Linked DNA regions of Ovis aries. The protein of the gene in region 1 interacts with the protein of each later gene in a pairwise test. Links are inferred from orthologs where the notes say so. Each region holds a gene or a part of one and is shown on either strand. Other genes may lie near its edges.

Region 1 (3,542 bases):
GGAGTCTGGCTGTAGAGTCCATGGGGTTGCAAAGAGTCGGACACCACTGAGTAACTAACATTCATTACACAGGTCCAAAATGGCCCCGGCCAAGCAATGTCTATTAAACGCTCTCAAGCTCTCATTTAGTATTATTTCTCTATTCCTGGAAAACAAGCTTTTAATACATGCATACTTAGGTCAAAATTTTTCAAAATAGCTTGCCAAATATAGGCTTTTCTTCCGTCAGTACTGGATTGGAGTCTCCTTTTGTCTTCATCTGGGTTTTGCAGTTTTTGACTTCCATTAATATGTAGCTTAGATGGGGCTCAGCTGACTCTACCTGGGCCCCTCCTTGATCAGAGGGCCAAAGGCCAAGTCCCCACAGTATGTCAATGGAAGTGCGGGGGAGAGGTGCTCAGGAACTTTCCCGTCGGCCTGTAGATGGCGCCCCGGGAAAGGGATTCCAAGCGTAGTTCCCAAAGTTCTTGGGGTCCCCACCCGGCTGCGAAGAAGGTGCAGCAGCCAGGTGTTCCTTCCAACTTCCACGGCTGCTCCGCACGTGCGCTAGAACCTTTTGGGGCGGAATTTCATGCAAACGTGTGGTGGGTGCAGCGGGGCCGGTGCAGGGGGCGCGCATTGAGGAGCGCAGGAGCCCCACGCGGCCGCGACCCACCACGCGCCGAGCAGCCCGGTGACCCCCACGCGCGGCGGGGCTCTCCCACCCCACCCAGCGGCAGGTGGACAGTGTCGCTATGAAGAGAAAGCTTCAATTGTCCCTCCTACAAACCGCCACACGCCAGACCTCTGCTATTGTGCACCCGGCATAGAAATGCAAACGAGCCGCGTGTTCCGGCCGCAATCTGCTTGCGCGCCCTGGCGCCCCGCAGCGCTTAGTAGCGGGCCGGGAGATTGGCTAGACTTTGCAGCGCGACCGGGTCCGGGTCTTGATTGTGCTAGAAGAACCTCGCGCTCGGGGCTCTGGTGTCAGCTGGAGAGGGCTGCTTTCAGGCCTTTAGCTAGCTTAGCCAGCGCAGCCTGTTTTTTAAGTTCCGGTTTAGAAGAAATGGTTTCAGAAACTCCAAATTAAAAGTGAAGAAAAAAATAGAAAAGGTAGCAAGAAAAATAAATGCAAAAAAAATATTCATTAGATTTCCCCAAAGGTGCATTTCACAAATTGCAGCGTACTGTTAACAAGTGAGGGTTTTTTCCCCCCGTAACTTTTTCCTTTTAAGGACTTAAAAAAAAAAGGCGAGATGAAATCTGCAGGCTCCAGTCTGCCTGGTAACACCCCGACAAAAGCGGCAGATTTGAGGCATTGTCATCCCCCGCACCCCTCCCCACGTGGCCTTCTGGCACGAGCCGCGGGCAGCCGCCTCATTTGCATCAGAAAGCGGGCGCGGGCCAATGGGCTCGCAGGCTCGCGCCAGCTGGCGGCGCCACCCGGCTCAGCCTATATAAGGGCGCAAGGCGGCGCTCCGGCTTACTCGCCGGCAGCGGGCTCACCAGGCTTGCTCGCAGACTTTCCTTCTTCGCTCGCGTCTGCTCCGCCCTCTGTTCTTGTGGATAACTTGCTGCTCGCAGATCGCAATATGACTCTGGAAGAAGTTCGTGGCCAGGACACGGTTCCAGAAAGCACAGCCAGGTAGGTCGGCGCCTAACTCCGGACGTCTCGGGGCGCGCGGGGACCCTCGTCCTGCCCTGGCCGCGCTGGTTGGGCGATAGTCTTTGGGGCCCGCCTGGGTGGAAACCGGCTGGGTTGGGAACCCGCTGGGTGGAAGCCGGGCGCGAGTGTGCCGGCTGGGCCGAAGGTGCGGCCGCCTGGGCTGGCGCGCCGGGCTGGGGCGCTGGGGGTGCGTCTCCGGGTCCAGGGATCTCAGGGCACCCTCCGGCTCACCGTGCTGGCTTGTCCACAGGATGCAGGGCGCCGGGAAAGCGTTGCACGAGCTGCTGTTGTCTGCGCAGCGCCAAGGCTGCCTCACGGCCGGCGTCTACGAGTCAGCCAAAGTCCTGAACGTGTGAGTATCAAACGCGGCCCGTGGGAGGAGCGGCAGGGAGACCGGGGAGACAGTGGCTGGGGGCGCCCCTGGCTCCTCGACCTGATCTCACCACCTCTTGCTCGCCCGCGTAGGGACCCCGACAATGTGACCTTCTGCGTGCTTGCCGCTGACGAGGAGGACGAGGGCGATATCGCGCTGCAGATCCACTTCACTTTGATCCAAGCGTTCTGCTGTGAGAACGACATAGACATCGTGCGCGTGGGCGACGTGCAGCGGCTGGCGGCGATCGTGGGTACCGGTGACGAGTCGGGGGCACCTGGAGACCTGCACTGTATCCTCATTTCGGTGAGTGTCGCCTCCGTGCCGATGTGATCCCTGCCCCCTCGCTCTCCCGTCAGCAGCCAGTGCCCAGCCAGGCTGACCTCTGCGTTCTCTCTGCAGAACCCCAATGAGGACGCATGGAAGGACCCCGCCTTGGAGAAGCTTAGCCTGTTCTGCGAGGAGAGCCGCAGCGTCAACGACTGGGTGCCCAATATTACCCTTCCCGAGTGACAGCCCCGTGGGGATCCTTGGTTTGATCGACGTGGTGACGCCCCGGGGCGCCTAGCGCGGGGCTGGCTCTGTGGATGCGCCCTCGGAGGGCGCCGGAGTGCGGCGTGGAGACTGGCAGGCGGGGGCGCGTGGAGAGCGGCGAGGAGGTGCGGTTCCCTCCCGAGGAGGGGCCCGGCGGCGACAGGGGCAGGCTGGCCCCAACCCAGGACTCTACAAGTGTGGGGAGCGGCTGCTCGCCCAGGAAGGCCGGAGGCGGGACCTTGGCCGCGCGGCCGGGAAGGACAGACTGGCCGGGCAGGCGTGACTCAGCAGCCTGTACTCCCGGCAGAAAGGAGGGGAAAGGCAAGTCCAGGCGGCTTGGACTTGTACGGTTACAGGAGCTCTGACGGACTTGAGCAGTATGCACTGCTGTTTTCAAAACGGATACGGGCGATGCTTCATTTTCTAAAGGATTATGCTGCTGCAGCTTTGAGTTTTACAATAAACTTAACTGAAACAAACGTACTCTCTTTATTGAGGGCAGGGTATCTTTGTCTGTGGGGGAGGTGGTCAGCGGGACTGCTGCTGATTTCTGAAATTTACGGAACTCCATGGCACCTGTTCCATCTTCCTGTTGGCGCTGAATGGCAGGCTCCTGGGGTGCTGGAAGTGGGGGAGGGGACGCTGGCTGGGTGTTAGGGCAGAACTTGAGCCCTGCTCCTATTTCTCTCCCTTCAGGAAAATTTTTAAACTTGCAAGACAGGAGCATACTTGGGATAAGACATCAGTGCAGCAGCTGGCCATCCAACCCGATAGCAGAGACCTTTCCCTCCCCTCCCCCTTCTTTCCTCTCCACCCCCTCCCTTCCAACAGCTGCTTATGGGAACAGCTTGCAGGATGCAGGCAGCTCCTTCCTGCACAATGAGCATTGCCTTCTGCAGGCACTGCCCTTTGTGGTCTCTGAGGATGGTGGCAGACTGCTGTCAGGAACCATTTCCCCTTAAAGGAATGGCACTTACGGCAATGTCACCA
Region 2 (4,568 bases), on another chromosome or scaffold:
AGGAGGAAGCTGGTAGAATTTACCCCATTTCCAATGGTCTGGCTTACATAGACCCTGCAGAGGGCAGCCTGGATGTGCGGCTGAGAGTTCAGTGTTCCTTAATATTTCCATAAGCATCTGACAATGTTTCCAGAGGAAATGCACCTTGATTACAATAACCTGTACTTTTACACTAAGCACTTTACAAACTTCACTTAATCCTCTGGGTACTACTTTCATTCTCATTTTACAGATGAGGAAACTGAGCCCTAAATACATAATTCATTCAAGGTTTCACAGCTGTATGTCACAGAAGTCTAGAGCCCTTGGCACCACTCCCCAATTCTGCCTCTGAGATCTTTTGTGATTCCAGGCAAGCTTTCTTCCCCTTTTGGCTTCAGTCCTCATTGGACAAACAAAGGGACCAGCCTGGCTAAAGTCCTGGGCTCCTCTCAGCTCTAAAGTTCTTCTAGTTCCAAGGTTAAGAAATTCACTTTGCACTCTGCACCCTGGCATCAGCCTGCATGCTAGAGATGAAGAGGGGAAAGGCAGTGCACCCTTTCAAAAGAGAATTAGTCCCTGCTGCAGGGTTAAAAGATGGGCATCACCTTGGCCCCCAGGTAGAGGCACCCAGCTGGACAGACTCTCTAAGTCTTCATAGGCCACAGTTTTTCTCAGGGTTCCTGTATGCCACTTTTAAGCCCACAGGGGTATTTTAGTTGGCCCCTGCAATGTTTTAAAACAGTTGGACTTGTTTACCAATATTTTAAAATCAAAAGCTGAAATCTGGATTCCTGGATTTTCCTGAAAAGTCTGAAGAGCTGGCCACTCCAGGCCCATGTTCCCCTGGCCACACTGCACTGAGTTGCTGGCTCCTGGCATTCAGATGCAACAAGAGTGCTCTGCTTTTCCAGGCGGTCAGCTCATATACACACCTCCCCTGACTGGTCCTGAGGGTACTTCTGCCTGTGAGCCTCACTTAAGGAGCCAACGGTGCTCTTTTCCTGAAGGATCCTAGGGGTGGGGATGTGCAGCACTGGGGCATAAGAACAAACGCTCCTTTTCCTGCAGACACAACTGTGCTCTGGGCTCTGTGACAGCTGACACCGAACCTGTGGCCTGGGTGCAGGTAGGAACCTGGCGCCTTGGAACAAAAACCAGAAAGTGCAACGAAAGAAGAGGTTTTCATCCAGCCATGAAACTCTCCTTCCCCAGTAGCCACCACTCAGACCTCTATCTGCTTTCTGGGGCCCAGGGTGGACCAACAGCCATGTGTCATTTCCCTGGATAGGGGCTATAATGGTGACATTGTGCTGAGTGGAACAAGAGAGGTTTTCATCCAGCGACCAGCACTGGGCAGACACTCAAGCAAGGGGCTCTGGGGCTCACCCTGCACAAATGAGTTTGGGAGTGGGGCCCTGAGCCAATGAGAAGCCCCATGGATTGGGCTGCATGTCCACAGTGGCAGGCACTAGGAAGGGAAGCAGAGAGGCAATGCTCCCAGAACACGTCACTGCTATCTCATTTTCCTCTATGAATAAACAATCTCAGAGGATAAAGGAGATCACCCCCCAAGACACCTGCATTAATGGAAACCTCCTGAGTCCTAGAGCATTTATTCACTGACACCCAACATTCCAGACACTGCTAGGCTGTAGGGATCTAGCAACAAGTAAGACACAACACCCACTAGCATAGTGCTTGCAGTCTAGGGGGCCAAGAAGAGGTAAAGAGAGAAGTAGGAATTTAAACACTGATGACCCAATGGAAGAACTGAGAGTAACACAGTAACAGAGTCAGTTCGAGAATCCAAATCTGAACCCAACTGGTGGTTTTTCTTACTTTTCCCAGGGTCTCCTGAGATCACTACTCTGTGGAATGGCCAGCTGGAGCTTAGAGAGGAGCTTAGAGAGGAACGTACCCCAGATACTATAATGCGGAATCTGAACTCTGCACTGACAGCAAAGGAAAGCCATCAAATACTTTTAAGGGGGATCTGACTAGAACCATGGACTGGTCGCTTTGGTAGCCGTGATGGAAGCAGACCTGGGGCAAAGTGACAGATTAAAAGGCTAAAGTACGTTTCTCTCACTGGGACAAAGAACATTTAGCCTCTAAATTTTTCTTTCCTTGGGCTTCCCAGTTCCACCTGATAAGCTAAGAATGAGAATGGGGAGTATCAGTTGTTTTCACAAGACTAAGAGCATGTGGGAGCTGAAAGCTTTTTTCCTGGAATTGTTCAGTGGGACCAAATTTGATATCTTTTAACAGAGCTAGAACTCTTCACACAGACTTCTTTAGACAAGCACCAGGCAAACCTGGAAAACTTACTACAGCAAATATGAAACGGGAATATATGAGGCAGATCCTAAAAATCCTTTCCAGAGAATTGCATTCACACAGGGAAGGGGGAAGGGGAGGAGAAAACCAGGCAAAGGCACCCACAACCTCCATCCCCATTCCAGTACCGCCCACCCGATACCCTATAATCTGGCCAAGCCAAACTGCTTTGCAGACACATCCTGCCGTTTTCTATCTCTATGTCTTTGCTCTCCCTGTTTTCTCTGTAATGTTATCTCCTCATTACAGGCTCACCCAAGTGTCTATCGCCCACTATTGTCTCCACGATCAGTAAGAAATTCCTGCTTCATCTTACTGAATTCCAAGAGCGCTTTATATTTTCTCTGGTACTTATCACATAATAATTTTTAATTAAATTATTTTATACACATATATCTCCTCTACTAGATTGGAAACTCATAAAGGATGGGGATCATTTCTACTTAGCACTGAAAGTGAAGTCGCTCAGTCGTGTCCAATTCTTTGCGACCCCATGGACTATAGCCCACCAGGCTCCTCCGTCCATGGAATTTTCCAGGCAAGAGTACTGGAGTGGGTTGCCATTTTCTTCTCCTGGGGATCTTCCCGACCCAGGGATCGAACCTGGATCTCCCACATTGCAGGCAGATGCTTTACCATCTGAGCCACAGGGAAGTAGTTCTCCCAAAAGAAATTGACACAGAATGCAACAAATATTCCTAAGTAGACTAATCAAAAGTAGGGGTAGTTTTTAATGGTGTCTATGGGCCTATGTAAAGGAAAAGTACAGAAAAAATATGTAGTTATTCCTTGTTCTAAAGCCACCAACAGCCTTCTCACCCACTTCATTCAGTTCCCCAACAGCAACCAAGCTGTAGTCAATTTAGTCAACAGTGCCACCTAGTGGGCACTGTGGGTAATTATCAAACCGGAACCACTACATCTTCACAGCTACTTCTTTACTGTTAATCCTTAGGAAAACTGCACAATGTTTTCCCATTTTTACATTTTTCCTAGACTCCATTTTTACATCTTTCCTAGCCCACATTTCCCACTTTACATCTTTCCTAGCTCAGTTAATCTCATTCTATATACAATTTCATAGGTGCATATAAATTCCCTTTAGCTTTTATTTTCCTGTTCCAATTCTCTGATAAACTTCCAGAGTCTAAAAGTTTCTTAAAGCTTCTAAAAGTTCTAAGCCCTCCATCTGTTCCTGCAATAGTTGCATTTTATACATTTTAAAAATTTACTTCAAATGAAATATTGTTTTTTAAAGTAGTAAATGAGCTAGACTGGGAACTTAACTACAATTTATAGCCTTGTTTTCAAGTGTTTCAGAACTAAAACAGTGAACTTTTAGAAGTTAATTCACTTATAAATTGTTGGTTGTCTGCTTTAGAATTTAAACTGACCTTTTCAAACTGGAAAAGTGGGCAGGAACAAAGAGGAACTTGGAAAATAATAATGGCTCACATTTTTATAGCTATTTATGGTTTACAAAGTGGGTATGTACCATCATGTCATTTGCCCTCCCCGAAACCTTGCAAGGTCAGTATGAGTTTTCCCATAGCACAGATGAGCAAGCAAGCTTCATAGGCTTAAAGTTAAACATTTCTTAAGTAGCAGAGCAAGAGCTCAAACACAAGTTTTCAGGCTTCAATCCCATTGTTTTTCCACTACACCATATTTCCTCTGGGCTCACACCCACATATATTAAACAAACTACTGGTGCAATTTGGTGAAGCAAGGGCTAACTAATTTCAACTTGCCTATCAAAGCAATGGAGGAAATATTCCCAGTCCAGGAAAAGACAGGATGCTCTTTCCCAGGTCCTTCCTTGAGCCTTCGCACAAGATGGTCCCAATGCTAGAATGTTCTATGTAAAAGAGTGGCCTAGCCAAAACTTCAAACTGTGATCTGTCCTATCTTGGGGAGGAGAAGTGTTTAGAAGAAGAATTAAGCCTTGACTTCACTTTATAAAGGGTCTTAGACATTTCATATGTCTATAATCAGTTTGGACCTACTTTCACAGAGACACACTAATAGGATGAAAGACGGTGACATTCTTCAAACACCTTTAAACTTAAATCCCATTCCTGACCACACCACTGCTCGTGGTCATAGCAATATTTCTCTACATCCTGTAATTATTTAAGGAAGAGCACACTTAACATCGCATTGCACTTGTATGCCCAAAAAGGTGTTCATTTCCACAATTTTTAACACTCCATGTTGGCATTCTTCAAGATTCAGTACACTGGGAACCT

The links.
Region 2: the proteins of GADD45G (region 1) and AFAP1L1 interact in binary tests that used the Homo sapiens proteins (3 or more experiments, as listed by UniProt). The two-hybrid records come from large-scale screens. The link is inferred for Ovis aries from reciprocal best matches to the Homo sapiens genes GADD45G and AFAP1L1.

The regions. Positions count from the first base shown.
Region 1 is NC_056055.1:24,393,727-24,397,268, forward strand, and holds GADD45G (growth arrest and DNA damage-inducible protein GADD45 gamma), read left to right. Parts: upstream 1-1,464; 5' UTR 1,465-1,571; coding exon 1,572-1,624; intron 1,625-1,895; coding exon 1,896-1,997; intron 1,998-2,110; coding exon 2,111-2,324; intron 2,325-2,420; coding exon 2,421-2,531; 3' UTR 2,532-3,031; downstream 3,032-3,542. UniProt on the Homo sapiens protein: Involved in the regulation of growth and apoptosis. Mediates activation of stress-responsive MTK1/MEKK4 MAPKKK.
Region 2 is NC_056058.1:58,444,356-58,448,923, forward strand, and holds the start of AFAP1L1 (actin filament-associated protein 1-like 1), read left to right. Parts: upstream 1-1,649; 5' UTR 1,650-4,568. UniProt on the Homo sapiens protein: May be involved in podosome and invadosome formation.